Mytilus edulis: one gene and its partners. The protein of the gene in region 1 purifies or fractionates together with the protein of each later gene. This does not show direct contact. Links are inferred from orthologs where the notes say so. Each region holds a gene or a part of one and is shown in the gene's direction. Other genes may lie near its edges.

Region 1 (5,937 bases):
ACCGTTCATTTTTGTTCACAATCTGCCTTCGAAAGAAGCATACATTTTTGTAAAGGTGTTTTTTTTCTGTTGAAGTAATAGGAGAAATAAAGTTAATATCGAAATAAAAAAAGGAAATTTATTACAGAACTCGCTCAAATTTTACAATAATTTAGTTTAAGTACAGCTTATATGGAAATTATATTAAAAAATATAGGTCACCGATGAGTTAAAAAAGATATTTCAGTTTTAAAGCCAAAAAATGGCATTTTTCCACCAAAGGGAGATAATTTGGAACTTTTCCAATGATGTATGTATACATTTTAAAAGTCATCTTGGGCCAACACTAATTAATTGTTTTGAATGATTTTTGTACCATATGATAAAATAACAACTACAAAAGGTAATAAATAAAATTTGTAATGAAAAACAAAAGTTTAATTTTTTTCTGAAATTTTTATACCCTCGAGCCTCCTTAAGAGCTACGTTTTCGCAGCTAGCTTATTCAATGACCCATAGATAAAGGTATAAAAGTAAAGGTATGATTTATAATTTTCAAATTTTCAAATTTTTTCAGTGATAACTGACTGATTTTAAACAGTTAAAAAGTCGTCTTGATCAATAGCAGGTAACAGCCCCTGAACCACCTAATACAAAAATTTAAACCACACCATTTACTGATGTTTAAGTTTATGGTATCAATATAAGTTTATAATGTAATGACATACATAGAATTGTCTTATAACTTGTTGTTACATGCATCTTTATTTCATTTATATGTTGTTTTAATATTATAATTGTCTGTATTTGGATCACGCCTCTATGGTGCTCTTTCCAATAAAATATTGAATTGATAAATATCTTGGACAAGTCCTAGCAGCGAAAACGTAGATCTTAAGGTCCCTTTGATGATTTTTGGCCAAAAAAAATTCAAAGGACAATAGAGCTACGTTTTCGCAGCTAGGACTAGTCCCAGTATGTATGTATGTACTTCGAGATTCCACCAGCTTCGATGCACGCCTTGATTGACTGCAAGGGTACAGAGGATCCATGTCCACTCCCTAAGGATTATAGAGATGTGTCCTTTACAATATTATCCCCCCACCAAAAAAATCCCCACCCAAGGGAGCATGTAGGACACCGGGAAGTCTGTTATTATGGTGGAGGAAGCTGAAATACTCGGAGGGAACCACCAGGCTTCTCGGCGGGAACAGACAACCCAAAAAGATTTCAGAAGATCTATCTCCAGGTCAAGCTGGGAACAACTTTAAGTAAGTAAGTAAAACTTTATTTGGATTCGGCATATTGACAAACAATACAAACATAAGCTCTAATGAGCTTTTCACCTACCAAGGCCCCCGAAGTATCCAATCTAGTTTAAACTCAGGTCTGGATGCCAGATATGTGTGTGGGAGGGTGAAAATCACCCTACTGATGTACTAAAAATTCAAAATCTCGAGTTAGAATCGAACTCGGGACCTTCAGCACTGTAGCCATCGTTCTTAACCACCACAAACCCACATGCATGTACATGTATAGCTGCGGAACCGTAGCTCTTATTTCCTTATGCTATTTTTTTACTATTTGCGGACCATAGACCCAAATAGTCACAAAATAGCATAAGGACCTAAGAGCTACGGTTCCGCAGCTAGTACATGTAGTAAATTAAAAAAAAAAATCTTCCAAAGTGTATTTTTTACATTTTTTTAAAACTCTTTCACGTAAAAGGTAGATACTGCAAGAACAGATTTACTTTATATGATTGATTATATACCTTTATTACAACTTAGTTTCCTATAAATACCATAATCAGAAAACACATGGATTTTTCACAACACATGTGGTTATTTACAAAACATTCATCATAAAAGACAGATTTTATTGTGATGGTGTTACGTTCAATGAATTCGAGATTATCTGTCTTAAATCAAATAAATAGTATGATGCTTCATTATCAATTATTCGATCTGAACCCAAAAGACTTTAATGATATATTGTTGTCAATAACTTTTAAAGCAAGCATTTTGAAAAACAAAAATCTATCTTTTCTTCATTTCCAAATCAACATTTCCTGTTTGGTGGGGTGAAAAGTTCATTGAATGATTTAGGGTTCTTTCGCATTTTACTGGGATATATTGCTTAATTGTAAGTTATCTTTTGACAACCAGTTATAACCTCTTAGATTTCATAAGTTTAAGTTTTGATTAGAAGCTCGTCTTATTTGAAAATACAATCTTTTTCACTCTAAAATCATATGTTATGACTGAGTGATTCAAATCTGCTGCCAGCTTGAGTGCAGGTTACATAAACACTTTACCAAGAACACTATTACACCTAAGATTTTAAACAAATCAGATCTCCTGTAGTTGGTGATCGCAATACTGGTATACTGTTTCTCGTTTCTCGTTTTGTTTATATAGATTAGACCGTTGGTTTTCCCGTTTGAATGGTTTTACACTAGTAATTTTGGGGCCCTTTATAGCTTGTTGTTCGGTGTGAGCCAAGGCTCCGTGTTGAAGGCCGTACTTTAACCTATAATGGTTTACTTTTTAAATTGTTATTTGTATGGAGAGTTGTCTCATTGGCACTCACACCACATCTTCCTATATCTATTTTAATAAAAGTTTGTACCAGTATACACCTTATCGCTATTTGTCCGCCATTACTGGATATCACACAGGTTCCCGTCAAATTTTGACGTCATAAAACAAAATATCTGACGCCACAATGGAAAAGTGATTGTTGTATCAGTCTTCACGACGAACTTTTAAACCTACAGGCCCGGAGCTCAATTTTTGAAAATTTTTAGTTAGACTTTGTTGGCCTGTAGATATGATTTTTACAGGCCCAAGAGCAATTTTACTAGCCTGGGCTGCCACTCAGCGTGAAGACTGTGTATGCGTCAAAAGTTCAAGCGGCCGGGTCAGCCGGGTTTAGCGATAAGGTGTATTGTATTCCAGTATTGTACCAGTATTGTGTTTTTCTTAAATAAACAATACATATAGGTAATTAATCTTTTATCAAAGGTGTCACATATATGCATAATGAAATTAACATATGACATGACAATTTTATAAGGAATGATTGTATGTTTAACTGATGATGCCATTGATGGTACACTGCGTTTGTCATAAAAAAAAGTTTTGAATTTTCTGATGTTTTTTTCTTAAAATTGCTTAAGCATGTTAAGGGAACCGTACTGTCTCAGCATTTTAACAAACTCTTTACTTTCTTCTATGTTTTCTTTCGGCTCTCTCTTTCTAAGGCCAGGTTTTTTTAATTTGTTGGTTTACGGATTTTACCAATGAAAAAGTCGGGTCGGTCAGTCGGCAAAAAAAAAAGAAAAAAATATGCTATTTTGTCATCATTTCTTAGATTTTAGTTCGATGAAATCAGCTGTCATAAACATCGCATGACTTTCTAATAATTTTCCGTACACAAAAAGTGGACGGGGACTGCACGGATATCGTCATTTCACAGACATGAAAAACAGATTCGCGTAGCTCTTAATCAATTCCCGATAACTTGGTGGGCTTGGTGAATTACGATATTCAAGCACGAAAACTGATAAAGAAGAAAAAATGTAAAAACGTCGTGCGAAAATAAGTTTCAACACACATGTCAACAAACGTAATGGACTCGTCCACTGGAAAAACGAGAATATCGGATTAATCTGTTGTCATGCATTCCCGTTTTTTTGGCCAAATGGACGATATTTTTTTATGATCTATGAAGCGAGAAAATTTCAAATGATTTGTTAATATTTAGTACTTTAACTAACTTGACGTCTTCTACCTGTCCACATTTGGACAAGTCTATTTCTATCAGATGATGCATCTTACGGACTGATGACAAGTACAGTAAACAAATTGATTTTGTAATTGGTTTTAAACACAGGTTTCGTTTCGCAAAATTATTTGCGCAAACCACATTTCAAGGTCAGTTAGTTATAATTGATTTGTCTATTTTTAGAAACGTAAACTGGAAGACTTTATTTTTTTCACTACAGAAAGTGTTATCAATTTTGATAGTGATTAATGCATTTCATTTCATAAAAAAAAAAAACGAGTATTTTAATTATTTTTTAGGGATAATGCATTTGTTACGGTCGGCGGGAATAAAAAAGCATGAAAAGTGAATTTTATTTTTATTCTGGAAATCGGCAAAATCGGATCGGCGGATCCGTAAACCAACAAATTAAAAAATTCTGGCCTAAGTCTCATAGTATATTTTAGTGTCTATATCTTATTAAGATGGTATTTCTGCAAATCCTCCCTCCACACTTCCTATATTGATATTTAGGTATTCAGTCTCTGTGGACTTTCTTTTACGCTTACTAGATTAAAAGTTTTTTCAGATAGCACCTGTACAGCTCTCTTACTGTCGGAGTGCTTGTCTCACAAAAATGTATAAGTATTTGTACCAGAAGATATATCTGTTACAAATTGTATTGTCCATATATATGGTTCTGAAGTGACTACGGTACTTAAACTACCCTTAACAATCATATAGACAAACTAGTTAATTTGATTATAGTCAGGTTCCTTTATTATGCAACTTTTTATGTTTAAGGGATATTGATATCTTTTATTGTGAAAGATGAGAAAATAAAGACCAACAAATGCATATGATCTTACTTAGTATATCATGTATATACAACATTTGTACAATGTATGCTAAATTTACAGTGTCAGAATGTAATACCGACCATGCAAGGGCTGTATGGCCAGTCAAGGTTGTTAAAAACTTCCATTTGTTAGAATGTAATAATTGGCTTGAATTTATTAATAACTCAGATAATAAAATTTTTATTTTATCTAAAGTGAATTTAATAAATTTAAAAATAGAAATATGATAAAATTATTAGCAATTATTTTACATAATTAACAATTGTTTGAATAATATGAGATAATTACAAGAATCTTTTTGTATAAGTATAGTAATTATTTTTAACTGGTTGTTAATTGATTTCACAATTATCCCCTATAATCTGCTTGGCTTCATTTAATCTCACTTTGATCTTCAATATTTAATTTTGTTTAAAATTCATTTTTCATTATAGATCTTAAAATATAATCAACAATACAACTACAATACTGGTATATCAGTTATGTACCAGTATTGTTGTTTTTAAAAAAAAAAGTTACAATACTGGTACAAAATTTGTATACCAGTATTGTGGACAATACTGGTATACCAGTATTGCGATCACCAACTACAGGAGATCCCAATTAAATATTTCCCTTTTTATGAAGCCTTATTTTATCTGTGAAAGAGAAAAATGGCCCTATGAATTCTACATGTCATGTACATGTATCATAATTGAAACATCTTCATATTTTTCGGTCTCACTAATAAGCGACAAGAAGAATTATTTAAGCGACAAGAATTCATATTTTTTTTATAAATATTACTTATTCCAAATAAATATGGCTGAAACTACTGGGCCAAGTTTATTATAGATAGAGATAATTGTAAGCAGCAAGACTGTTTAGTAAAGTAAGATGTACAAACACATCACCATCACCAAAACGCAATTTTGTCATGAATCCATCTGCTTCCTTTGTTTAATATTCACATAGACCAAGGTGAGCGACACAGGCTCTTTAGAGCCTCTAGTTTTATGTCTTCAAAAAGGTTTTGTATAAATGAATTCTGTTTTTTTATGAGTACAAAAAATAAGTAAGATATATACATTTTTACATTGGAATGATGATTTTTTTTGTTGTTGAAATATCAATCCTCTAAACTCTGTATTAAAATATTTGTCCTCCAAAATGTCTAGCAATTTGGTGACATTATCCTTAGTGTATCACTGTATACATATTTGGTTTTAAAATCAGTGAATGTCATCACAAAGTAAGATTCTGATAAGCTTTAACAAGAAATTTGTAACTTAGATTCTAATTTTTTTTAACCCTGTTAATTTGTTAAATGAAATGATATATTCAACCTTCA
Region 2 (5,937 bases), on another chromosome or scaffold:
GTGTTGCGTATCTTTTCTTTCATAAAAGCACCTACCGTAAAGAGTCTCTATAGGAAGACTTTGGCTCTCTAAATGATTAAGCAATTTAACAAATATTTATCTCAGAAGTAATTTTACAAGAGCAAGATCAATAGAAAAGCTCTATAAGTAAATGATTGTTGCAAATATATCGAAATCTGTGAATATCTTCAACAAATTAAAGCACAATAAAGTAAATAAATATTATGACTTGTAAAACAATCAATTTTATCAATAATTTATATCAACAGTAATATTTAAATGTTAATTTCACAACAGTCCATTTTCAAGGGAAGTAATGTTGTTTTAAAAACTGGCTCTCCGCCACAATAGTCAGAACCACAATGATGCATTCAAGATAATTATGCATGCTGTAATCACCAAATCTTAAAGACCAAAATGGTCCAGATTTACAGGTTATAGTAGTTTTGTACCAGTAGATGCTAGCCTGGTACAAAACATACATATTTTAAAGACTAGCATCTTGTGTCAATTGAAGTACTTCCCCCCCTTTTCTTCTTAACATGAATAAGATAATTCTTAAAACATAAAAGATACTGACAGAAACATATTTATAAACGTATCTTGTGTACTAGTGATGAATAAAATCCCCTCCTTTTCCACAATTCTAAGGGCTCATTAATTTATCTGTATTCATGTAATGCATGTCCAGATTTCTGTTAATCAAACAAGCATTACAACCCATAATTTATTTATCTGCAAAAATTGTCTGTCCTGCTGCATATTTCCATTTTGAATTTATCATACGTTTTAAACCTAGCCCTGATAAACCTTGCACTTAAGTATATTAGTATAAACACCATGTCTATTTGTGCCAACCTTTCAAATTTTTAATATTTTGCTATCCTAATTTGGTACAGATCCTTTATCCTCAAAACTTATCAGGGGCAGTAGGCGTGTTTGTATGGTAGTTTGTCACACCTTACATGTATGATTACTAGCCTCTAAGTATTGGTTTGAGCCCTAGTTGGGCAGTTGCAAAATTAAGGTTTGATTTTCATGTCATATGTGTTAAGGTTAGTCAGTTTCCTACCGCAGGTTGGCGTTTTCCTTCAAGTACTACGGTTTAGTACGCCACTAAAACTGACTGCCATGAAATTACCCATATGGTGTAGAAAGTGATGTTTATAAAACCAAGGCAAACAATCAAAGTTTTAAATCTTTGTCCATTTGTACAAGGAGCCGTAGTGGTTGAGCCATTTAACTTATGGTAATTTTACCAAACTGTGACCACAACTTCAAGATGTGACATCAGGCCTCTGTTCAATGGGCAGTCCCACAATAAACGTTCAATTTTCATGTCATACATCTTATATGGTTAATTTGTCAGTTTCCTGCCTCAGTTCTGTGTTTTTTTCTGGGTACTTTGATTTACTCTGCCAATAAAACTGACTTTCTTGCATGAAATTATCCATATGATATAGAATGTGACATTGACGGTTGACCCCTTTCAAAGAATCCACCAGCATGTACACACAACAATGCTGCAATGCTTTAGACAACATTGGTCTAGAGACTTCATGATTTACATGTATAAAGCTTTTGAATGTAAAAAAAAAAAAAAAAAATCCCTACCTACCTACCCACCTGCTGATAGTGTGGGTCGGCAATGCCAAACAAACAATTTTTTAAGGGTGGCCTCATAATTTAAAATATTTGACATCACAATTTAAAAGTGATTGTTGCTTGACGTCAAAAGGTGATTCGGAGTAGATCTAAGGTCATTCGGAGGCAAGATTCAGCTAAATACCAAAAGTGTAAATACGTTTAAGGCTAATGCCACTTTCAACACTTTTATGCTAATTTGTGGTGGTCAGTCTGGGATACTTACACCACTGCGGCCCTGAAAGTGAGGCCAATATTTAAATCACTTTTGCATATGAATATTAAACAATTCCTTTAAAATTATTGTTTCAAATGTTTGCCAGTTTGGTAAAAATCCTTATTATATAGAATAGAATAGAATAGAATAGAATATTTTTATTTCCCAAATTACAGGGCCCATAAAGATCATAAAATCAGATACAATTGATTTACATAATTGGTAACAACAACAATAGAGGCATATACATATATATTTGGAATATAAGCATTGGTCAGAATCAAGCTAAAAACCACATACATTGTATATATTGTGAATAAAAGAATAATAAAATTACATTATACATGTATATGTATTAATTCTCAAATTATTTACTTGACTTAGTGTCAGTGTTCATACCTGATCTCCTTAATTCAAAACAGTCACAAATATAACAGCCCAGTTTTTCCATAAGAGTATTATATATATATATATATTAATTGACTTAGCTGCGAAAACGTAGCTCTTAAGATCCTTTTGATGATTTTTGATATTTGCGGACCATGGCAAAAAAAAAAAGGACAATACTACGTTTTCGCAGCTATAATTGACTATGACATTCAATTATTGTGATTAATCATTTATTCAAATTATTGTTATCTTTCACATTATTTTATTTTTTATTGCATATGTGCCCTTAAAAGTTAACATTAGGTTTTTAGCCTCTTCACATGTCACACCTGTCTTGTATGTAATTATATACAAATGACATGTGAAACGATTTCTCCCACACCCAATACTGCAATAGATTCTAAATAACAAAAAAAAACATTTTCCAAATGACTACACCAGATCTTACCATTGTGTTTAGATAGTTGCAACTAAAATGACTAGTCCAGTTAAATCTTTTTCAACTGTCAATGCTTCGTCCGTTTACGCAACAGAAAACTATCAAGGTCAACTGATGTAAATGTGCCGGCTACAGAATCATCCAGAATACCGGAAGCACGTGTTGGGCCAGTTACTCTCTAATCGACATTCTCTGGTTTTATCAAATGTAACCCAGAAAAAGATTGAAAGGTCCCGAGATATAAAGGCATGTGCCCTGCAATCGGCAGGTATTAGAATAATACGCTAAATAACAACCATTTTCACGGCTTTAGGGAAACATACATAATTCAAGTTGGACATTGGAAATTAATTTGTGACCAGTTCATTATTTCCTTTATTTTTTTTTCTTAATGAGCCATATGTTGTCTTAACTTGTTGAAGAATAAATTCAAATATACCTGCTGAAGGGCCCGTTGTATCCCTTACGCATGCTAGAAATATATTCGCAAGTTCCGGTTACCATCAGCCACACTGCCTCAGCATACATGCGATCCAGCAGAGCAGTATTTGAAGGACAAGGCATTTAAATACACAGAAAAGTCATTACACACTAAAAGAATATTTAATTAAGGTAAACCTTATTATTGCATACAAATTTATATCAAAAGCAGCAAGTGGTTGAATTTAATTGCGTAATAACTTAAAAGTCCGACTACAACCACGTGGGTCAACGACAACGTCGAGCATGCATCTTTGTCTACTGTTTGTCCTGTATGTCGGCTTTGCGTTAAACTGAAATTCAATTACTATTATTGCATACATGCTACATCACAAGTCTAAAGTCAGTGTTATTAACGTTTTATATGGTCAATTAACTGAATGAACCATGTTCTGGAAAGGGAGACGTTATTTCATCAGACAAAATGATTACTATTCATTCTAAATACTGACCGTCGGGAATGTTCATAGTAAAAAGATAAGGTGTATTTGGGTGCATCCCACCCATTTCAATTAAGACTTGATATGGCCATGACGTCATTTGTAGTTACTTAATAAGTAATCAATATTAAAGTTGCATAAAAATGAACATGTACATGTATCTTAGATTTCTTTTCAGCAATGAAGATCGGTGCAAGAGTTTTTACCTTTGAAATTTTACAGTAATCAATGTTTTTTAAGAAGAAAAGAAATTGAGCCATAAAATAAATCTGTGAAGATGGGTTAATATTGGTGTTCAAGGAAATAGGAATAACTCAATTTTAGAGGTCAAGGTCTCAATTTACAGCTATTGGTAGCTGGAAATTTGGTATACATTTTGATATTCTGATTTCAACCTTTAGAATTTAAGGTCCACCTTATGCCTTACTTTGATTGAGTCCCGCCCCCAAATGGAAAGATGAATAGTCCAATAGTCATGATTTTTGGGGTCAAAGCTCCAGATCACAGAAGCTATTGATAGTCTGGAATGTGGGCATAATTTTTCTGAATATCTTTTGAGCCATTTGTTCACCTTATACCAAACTTGATTTGATCATGCATTTGTGGATGAAAAAGAAATATACATATTTGATTTGAGGCAACAAGGTTTAAGGTCAAGGTCAAATTCTCAATTGCAGATAGGAGTTGAAGATGTACCGATTACCAAGTATTCTTCGCCCTGCCCTTTCAAGGAGAGTGTCTCCTGCACTTGTCAGAACTTATGCCAAAGAGATAAAGTTTGGAGCAGATGCAAGAGCTATGATGCTTCAAGGTGTTGATTTGTTGGCAGATGCTGTTGCTGTTACAATGGGACCAAAGGTATATTCATTATATTTAGGGTTCAAATTTGTTGAATCAAATGGTAAAGTGACTATTTTAGCAGCTAAAGCAGATCTGCCTGGATGAAAATGATCAACAGGTCTATGTCCAACATCAGAGGAATTTTCAGAAAGTCAGACTACACAGTTATTGCCCCTGAAATATCAGGTTTTGCAAATTTCAGTTTTTGTTTATCATTATTTTTAAAACTAATAGATAGAGAGAAATTTTAAACAATAAAACTGTAGAGCAATAAGATCTACTAATAAGTTGAACTTGACAGAAATTGTCTAAAGACCTCTTATAGGAGTAATTTCTTTTCAAAAATATATTAAACTCATTTTGTCATCAATGTTAAATTTTTCCTGAATTTACTGGCTCAAATTTAACTAATCATTACCTGGATATTCCATAAGACAAAGTATCTTAAGTTGCAAAATATACATGTAGAATCTTGATCATATACAAATGCAGTTTTGACTAGTCAAAAACTAAACAGATAGCAGCAACTCTGATGTGGTATAAATGATCAGCAGCTCAATCACCTTATGAATCTTTAAACCAGACCATCCATTTGGGAGTATCCCATAAAATGGAAATTTTTAGTTCATTTCAAATTCTGGTACATGTATCTTAAAAACCAAAAAGTCGGTCAGTCTGCAAATCAAGGTTAGTTGGTGTACCATTAACAAGCACACTGTTTTTCTTCTTTATTATACCCCACGCAAATTCCTGCGCATGTTATAACATTTTTTGCCCAGTCTGTCAGTCCTGTTTCTTGTCATTGCAACTCCTCTCAAACCACACAACAGAATTACATGAAACCTTTGTAGATAATAAGGACATACTATGCAGATATTCATATCGACAGGAAATTACGATTCAATTTTTTTTTCTAGGAGTTATGCCCCTTTGAACTTATTTGCTTCAAGATACTACTGTAACAGTTTGTCATCGCAACTCCTCCGAGACCACACAACAGAATTTCATGAAACCTTTGTAGATAATAAGGACATACTATGCAGATATGCATATCGACAGGAAATTACGATTCAATTTTTTTCTAGGAGTTTTGCCCCTTTGAACTTATTTGCTTCAAGATACTTCTGCAACAGTTTGTCATCGCAACTCCTTTGAAACCACACAATTGAATTTAATGAAACTTTGTAGATAATAAGGACACATTATGTAGATGTGCATATTGACAGGAAATTGTGATTCAATTTTTTTTTCTTAGTTATTTTATTTTTCCAGTGACAATGTGGGGTATGTGGGCACGCTCACTAAGGTTCTTTAATTTTTGAAACCTTTATTTCAGGGTCGAAATGTAATCATTGAACAAAGTTGGGGGTCTCCAAAAATAACCAAAGACGGAGTTACAGTTGCCAAATCTATTGAACTAAAGGACAAGTATCAGAACATAGGGGCTAAACTGGTACAAGATGTGGCTAACAACACCAATGAAGAGG
Region 3 (5,937 bases), on another chromosome or scaffold:
TTAATGAACATTATTGTAGTTTAACGTGAAATATGGTAATTTTTTCCACAATTTTAATTTGTTTTTGGCATAATCAACCTTGGCCGCCATCCACGATCCATATGTTGAAATCTTTTGATTACCAAGGTTTGGCGACCAAGGTTTTCCTAAAGCTTTAGGTCTGAAACATCATACTATTTTGACATAAAACTTCATCATGAGCTTACTTTCGGGAATATTATGTACTTTAATGAAATTAAAGAACTGATTGTTTAACATTAAGAATTTTGAAATACAGCCATTTATAAACCAAATTATGACCTTTTTGGTGTTTTATGATAAAGTTTATATTATAGACCATATTGTGCCAGAAGTGCTATTCACATAACCTTTTTCTTTTGTTGGATAATTTACCATAATTCATTTTGCTGAATTAAAAGAACCTTGGGAATGATGCAACAGAGAAATATTCTACAAATGACTCATTTGGATGAATTAAACAGTATGAACATCACATTTTATGTGAATAGAAGGTAACTATTAATTGTTAGAATTGTAAAATTAAATCACATGACTTACTTGACTTGAATAATCTTCTTACATCCCATGGAGAACATAGGGCGCAACCACAGTGGCTCTCCGTCTCTTCCTGTCTGCTCGGCTAGTTTCTTTGCTTTCCCCCATGTTTTTCCAAATGTTTTGTAAATCATATGTTAGATCTCCGCGCTTGGTGTTTCTTTGGTCGCCCTCTTTTGCCCTGGGGATTCTAATCTAGCGCCTGTCTAGTAACTTTTGTGTTGTTTTTAAGTAACCTGTGTCCATTCCATTTCCTTCCTTATGTTGTAATCGTTCTTTCTATTTGTTTTTGTCTTGCCTTTTTCTATAATTCTTTGTTGCTAATGGTATTTTGCCACTTGATTCCAATAATGTTTCTTAAACACCTGTTCATGGAAACCTGTGTTGTTTTGTAGACGTCGCTATTAGTCTCCAAGTTTCTGACCAAAAGAGTAGATTTTGCATTTGAGTTGTAGATCTTGATTTTTGTGTTTGTTCTGCGTGCTTTACTCCTCCAGACTGTTTAAGGATAGCAAAGGCTTGTTGTGCTTTTCTTTTTCTTGGTTGGATTTCTTCATCTGTCCCTCCTGATGTACTGGTGATACTTCTATGATATGTAAATTCTCAGATATCTTCACTTTCAGCAGCTCTCAATTTGGTTTGGTTAAGGTGAATGACCCCTTCTGTAGCCATTGAATTACGAAATTTTCAAACTACAATTGTATCAAAACAGCAGAGAAAATGAATAATACAGATGGGCCATTTTGTACATCTACCAAGGGGAAACTTCGTGCTCAGCATTATTATTTATTGTTTTATTGCATTTGATAGAAAAGGGGGATTTTGTGGCAAATAAAACCAGATTTTTGTAGAAACCCACAGACTTTAAAACCGAGATTTAAAGGGGCACTAGCTGCCAAATTCATGTTCACCAATTTGACTCAAATTCTCATATTTTATTAAAATAACAATGTAAAACATTTTTTCCAAACTATCAAAAGTATAAATTAAACAATTTACAGGACATGGTCTCAATAAGATGTAGCTTTTGATTTTTTATATATCTCGTAGCTAGTGCCCCTTTAAGTTTTAAAATTTTAAACATAGATCGCTCACTTATTTTTCTATGATGTGCTAGCGTTTATTGTATACAAAAAGTTTTAAACAACCTATAAAATCCAAAAAAAGTGCTGAGTCACTAAAGTCGAGTGCACCCTAGAAGGTGTACTTGAATTGGTTTATATTTATCAGTATTTGTTTTAACCAATTTTAAATATATAAACTTATTTTAAGGAAATCACTGCTAGCACTGCATCCAATAAGCATGCACCGAATTGCCAAATATGAGAGAACGTTATATCATCCAGATATATAGATGGTTATATACTGTACCGTCGGCAATGTCTCTATTTGTTGCCTATATTATCATGATAATTGTTAATTGTACATGACCCTGTTGGACCCTGATTGGAATAATGAAATAGTTGATATGATTTGATTCTACTATGACTTTATTTCCCAGATTCGTATGATATTTAGACATCGGTATGATATTCTGTAATCAACATTTGCCACTTATTTTAGACCTTCCCTGTATTTTGTGAAAATGTGTTGTTTTGTGGTAAAAAAAAATTTACCCAATTGAGTAGTCTCCCTTAGATTGTTTACAATGGCGACCGATGGCCAAGAAGTCGATTCTGAAATAAGAAATCAAGACGGTGCATTAGAAGCTTCATATATCTATGTGAAAGTTCTTGGACGTGGTGCTTTTGGAGAAGCAAATTTGTACAGAAAAACAGAAGTATATGTCATGCATTGTTACCTGTTACCTGTTACCTAGTCTTTATCTTCCTCCTCTAGCAGGAGCTTCGCTTCTATAGCGTAATTCCAATTTGCACCCTTATTTGCACCCTAACCCTTACACACGGGGCACTCATAAAATCAGTATACGTAGGTAGTTATCATAATAATTTTTATAACAGTAACATATATACAGCATGCGGACTAATCCATCACCATGTAGACGTAGTTAACTATATATATATATATACTCAGTCCAATCGTTCATAGCTGGATCACAATTATATCTCCATATAACGTAGTGTTATAGTCTATAATTAAAACACTCCTGCCCTCGCAATAGCATTTACTGTTCAAAACACTGTCCTTGGTATCTTTAAAATCTAAAAAACGTTTCACTGTTCATTTGGTAAGCAATTATTCCATATAAAACACGCTAATAAAATATTTAAAATCTAAAACCACTTGATATTTTACAAGCCTTGGATACGAGTTTTCAGTTCAAACACTATCCATCTCTCAATATTGCAGAATAAATCCTGACACAATCCAGTAAATGCGAATCAAATTTACTCAGACATTAAAAGTAAACGTTTGTGATATAGTTTGTAACACAGACCTCTGGTTAATGTCTCTATACGGACCTGTTCCTTGTAGGTAAGAAAATGATATGATGTACAGTCTATAATTAGATGTAAAAGATTCTCCTTGTCATCAAGTAGTTCTTGAATTAGCAAAGGTGGCTTATTACAATCTACGAGAAGAGATTTCAACTCTTGCATAAAGCGATTTCTTATGCTTGACAGTTTTTCACATTTAAGTATAAAGTGAGTCATATCTTCTGGTTCAATGTTACATAATGGACAGATTGCTGAGATACAGTTTTTTGAAAATCTAGACCTCTGATACTGAAGAATCATTATTCCGGTGGCAATTTTAACTTTAATTGCAGCCATATTAACAGAGTACGGGTCAGTCCCACTGCTTTTCCAAATATTATGCACAGTTCCTATGTTGGAATCATTAAAATTAATATATTTCAAGGATGACTTTTCTTTAGCTTCCTTCTTTAAATTTTGTAAAAAATGATTATTTATACAGTTATTCACAAGTCTATTCCAGCTTATTTTTGATGGTGGATTCTCAATAATATCATAAGGCGATGGCAATCCATAAATTAAAGTTAAATTGTGTAGTTTTGTAAACCAACTTTCAGATTTTTCATCTTTCATAGCCAATTGTCTAAAAGCAATTTCTCTTTCAACAGATTTATCATTTCTAATTATATTTCCAAATGTTTTCAGAATTTTCTTATGAATTTCTCCCTCTATAGGAATACGCCCTAATAATAGTAAAGTTGCAGCTATTGATGTGCGTTTAGGCAAGTGCTGAATTTGCTTTAATAATTGTCTAAAGAATAGTTCCATCTTTTGTATATCTGAATTTGAGAGCGATATGACATCTAAACCATATAGTAGTCTAGGTACAACATATATTTGAATCAAGTGTACAGAAACTTTTGGATTTACTCCATTCAAACCGTGTAACCCAGCACCCATAAGAGAGTATACAGTTTTCCTTGCCGTAGTAATACGCTTGTTCACAACTTCTTTAACCCCAGCATTTTTAGTTATATTTCTATCTATTCCAAGGTGAACTGCAGATTCAGAAAGTGTTACTGATTTTCCATTCAAAGACCAAGATTTTGGCAATTTATCGTTATATACTAATATAGTAGATTTTTGCTCACTGAGTAGATATCTCAATTTGTTTGCATGATCAGTAATTATAGTTGCATTACGCCATTAGTCTAGGGGTTTGAAACTGGTGTTTATGATTTATGTTGACAACCACCCCACATCTCTTCAGAACTGCATAATGACACCTCCCCTGTAAAAAAATTACTATAAAGCATCACAGCATACAATTAGATTGATTCTTACTCTGATTCTAAAGGAGGGGTAGTTTCTTTCCACACCTGTTCATTGATTTCGACATGTGTCGATCATTTCGATGTGATGGCCATACATTATGTACATGTTCATGTACTCGGATTCCTAATCTCCCATAAGATACATGTATATCAGCCATACTGTCACTGCCAGACCTTATAAATAAAATTTATTAAATCTTAAAAAAGGATGGACGACACTATTTAAAAAAAGTATTGATGATGTTGTCCTATGTACATCTTTTCTAGGACTTCTACTTCTACCACTAAGTGACCACCGTCATGAGTTGACTATTATGTCACTGTTTGGTGTGCGCTTGCAAACTTAACAAGTCCAAAAATAATTTAAACAAAAATGAAAAATTTTGTGCTGTATGTATAACATTTATACATGGTGCAAATAAAAACATGGGACTTGAAATTTAATGTGCATGCAATAGGCCCTTGAATGAGTCAGCAGCTGTCACCAAGGCAGGCAAAGTGTTCCAATCTCTTATTGTACCTGGATAGAACTTATTGTACGTGGAAAGAAGGACTCTTTCCTGATGCTGGTCTTGCATGATGGTATTATTGACTACGTGTGGCAGTCACATCCTAAATCGTACAATGTATACCTTATCGCTATTATAAGTTGACCTGAGAATCTGTACTGCTTGAACTTTTGATGTCATACAACAATCACTTTTCCATTGTGGCATCAGATATTTTGTATTATGACGTCAAAATTTTACGGGAACCTGTGCGATGTCCAGTATTGGTGGACAATTTCACAAATAGCGATAAGGTGTATTCATCCCAAGTCAATGGTCAATTTGTTCCTATTGATTTTGTTCATTACTAGTGGGGCTTTATGATTTGTTCCTTCTTTTTATGTTTATGGCTCCAAATACATATTAAAGTTTTTGTATAGATCAGTTTACAGTCATGACAGTGCATGCAATGTTGACAAAAGTAATTCCAGTAAAAAAAAAATTGCTTTTTATATTTTATATAAAAAATTTCGTGTTTTTCAATTATTATTTTGATTTATGGTTGCATTTTTGAAACAAACAATGTGTTGAGGATTTTGAAAATAAATAACTCAGCCATGATAATCACAAAAATAAATGGTTTGTTCTGTGGTAGTTTGAAAATAAATTACCTGACTTGCAATGTATTGAAAATAAATAACTCAGCAGGTCTAATCTAAAGTATGAGATGGCACCAGATTCTTCATAAATTCATCTTTTTCACCAAAAAAATCGGGAAACACTTCCCAATTCTTTTAATAATAAAAGTATAAATATTATTTAAATATACTTGAAATGTCTCCCAGCTGCTCCAAAATCTATATAAAAAAAAAATTGACACGCTCCGCTCGGCAAAATATGTTTCTCAATACTTTTAAAAGAGACGAGTTACAACCAAACTTTAATACTATGTATGTATGCAATACATTTATATGCAGTTGGGAATGATTCATTTTCTGCAGAAGATGATGATGATTAATACTGATTAAATGGTACATAATCACTTGACTATACATGTATTATTTATAATAAACAAATCATTTAAAAATTGTATGTTTTCGAATATCATAAATATAGTTGTGAAAATGAATAATCAGTCCCTTGCTTTTATGAAAATGAATAATCTTGCTTCAACAGTGCAAA

Evidence for each region.
Region 2: the proteins of activating molecule in BECN1-regulated autophagy protein 1A-like (region 1) and heat shock protein 60A-like purify together in Homo sapiens (affinity purification with mass spectrometry, with the first as the bait; 3 studies listed by BioGRID). This does not show direct contact. The link is inferred for Mytilus edulis from reciprocal best matches to the Homo sapiens genes AMBRA1 and HSPD1.
Region 3: the proteins of activating molecule in BECN1-regulated autophagy protein 1A-like (region 1) and serine/threonine-protein kinase Nek9-like purify together in Homo sapiens (affinity purification with mass spectrometry; 3 studies listed by BioGRID and IntAct, with this or other methods). This does not show direct contact. The link is inferred for Mytilus edulis from reciprocal best matches to the Homo sapiens genes AMBRA1 and NEK9.

What each region holds. Positions count from the first base shown.
Region 1 is NC_092353.1:44,532,727-44,538,663, forward strand, and holds the start of activating molecule in BECN1-regulated autophagy protein 1A-like, read left to right. Parts: upstream 1-2,031; 5' UTR 2,032-2,124; intron 2,125-5,937. UniProt on the Homo sapiens protein: Substrate-recognition component of a DCX (DDB1-CUL4-X-box) E3 ubiquitin-protein ligase complex involved in cell cycle control and autophagy.
Region 2 is NC_092345.1:91,936,687-91,942,623, reverse strand, and holds the start of heat shock protein 60A-like, read left to right. Parts: upstream 1-2,893; 5' UTR 2,894-3,302; intron 3,303-4,287; 5' UTR 4,288-4,300; coding exon 4,301-4,468; intron 4,469-5,786; coding exon 5,787-5,937. Other genes in the region: 10 kDa heat shock protein, mitochondrial-like, read right to left, coding at 2,700-2,702. UniProt on the Homo sapiens protein: Chaperonin implicated in mitochondrial protein import and macromolecular assembly. Together with Hsp10, facilitates the correct folding of imported proteins.
Region 3 is NC_092346.1:18,565,395-18,571,331, forward strand, and holds the start of serine/threonine-protein kinase Nek9-like, read left to right. Parts: upstream 1-2,188; 5' UTR 2,189-2,203; coding exon 2,204-2,335; intron 2,336-5,937.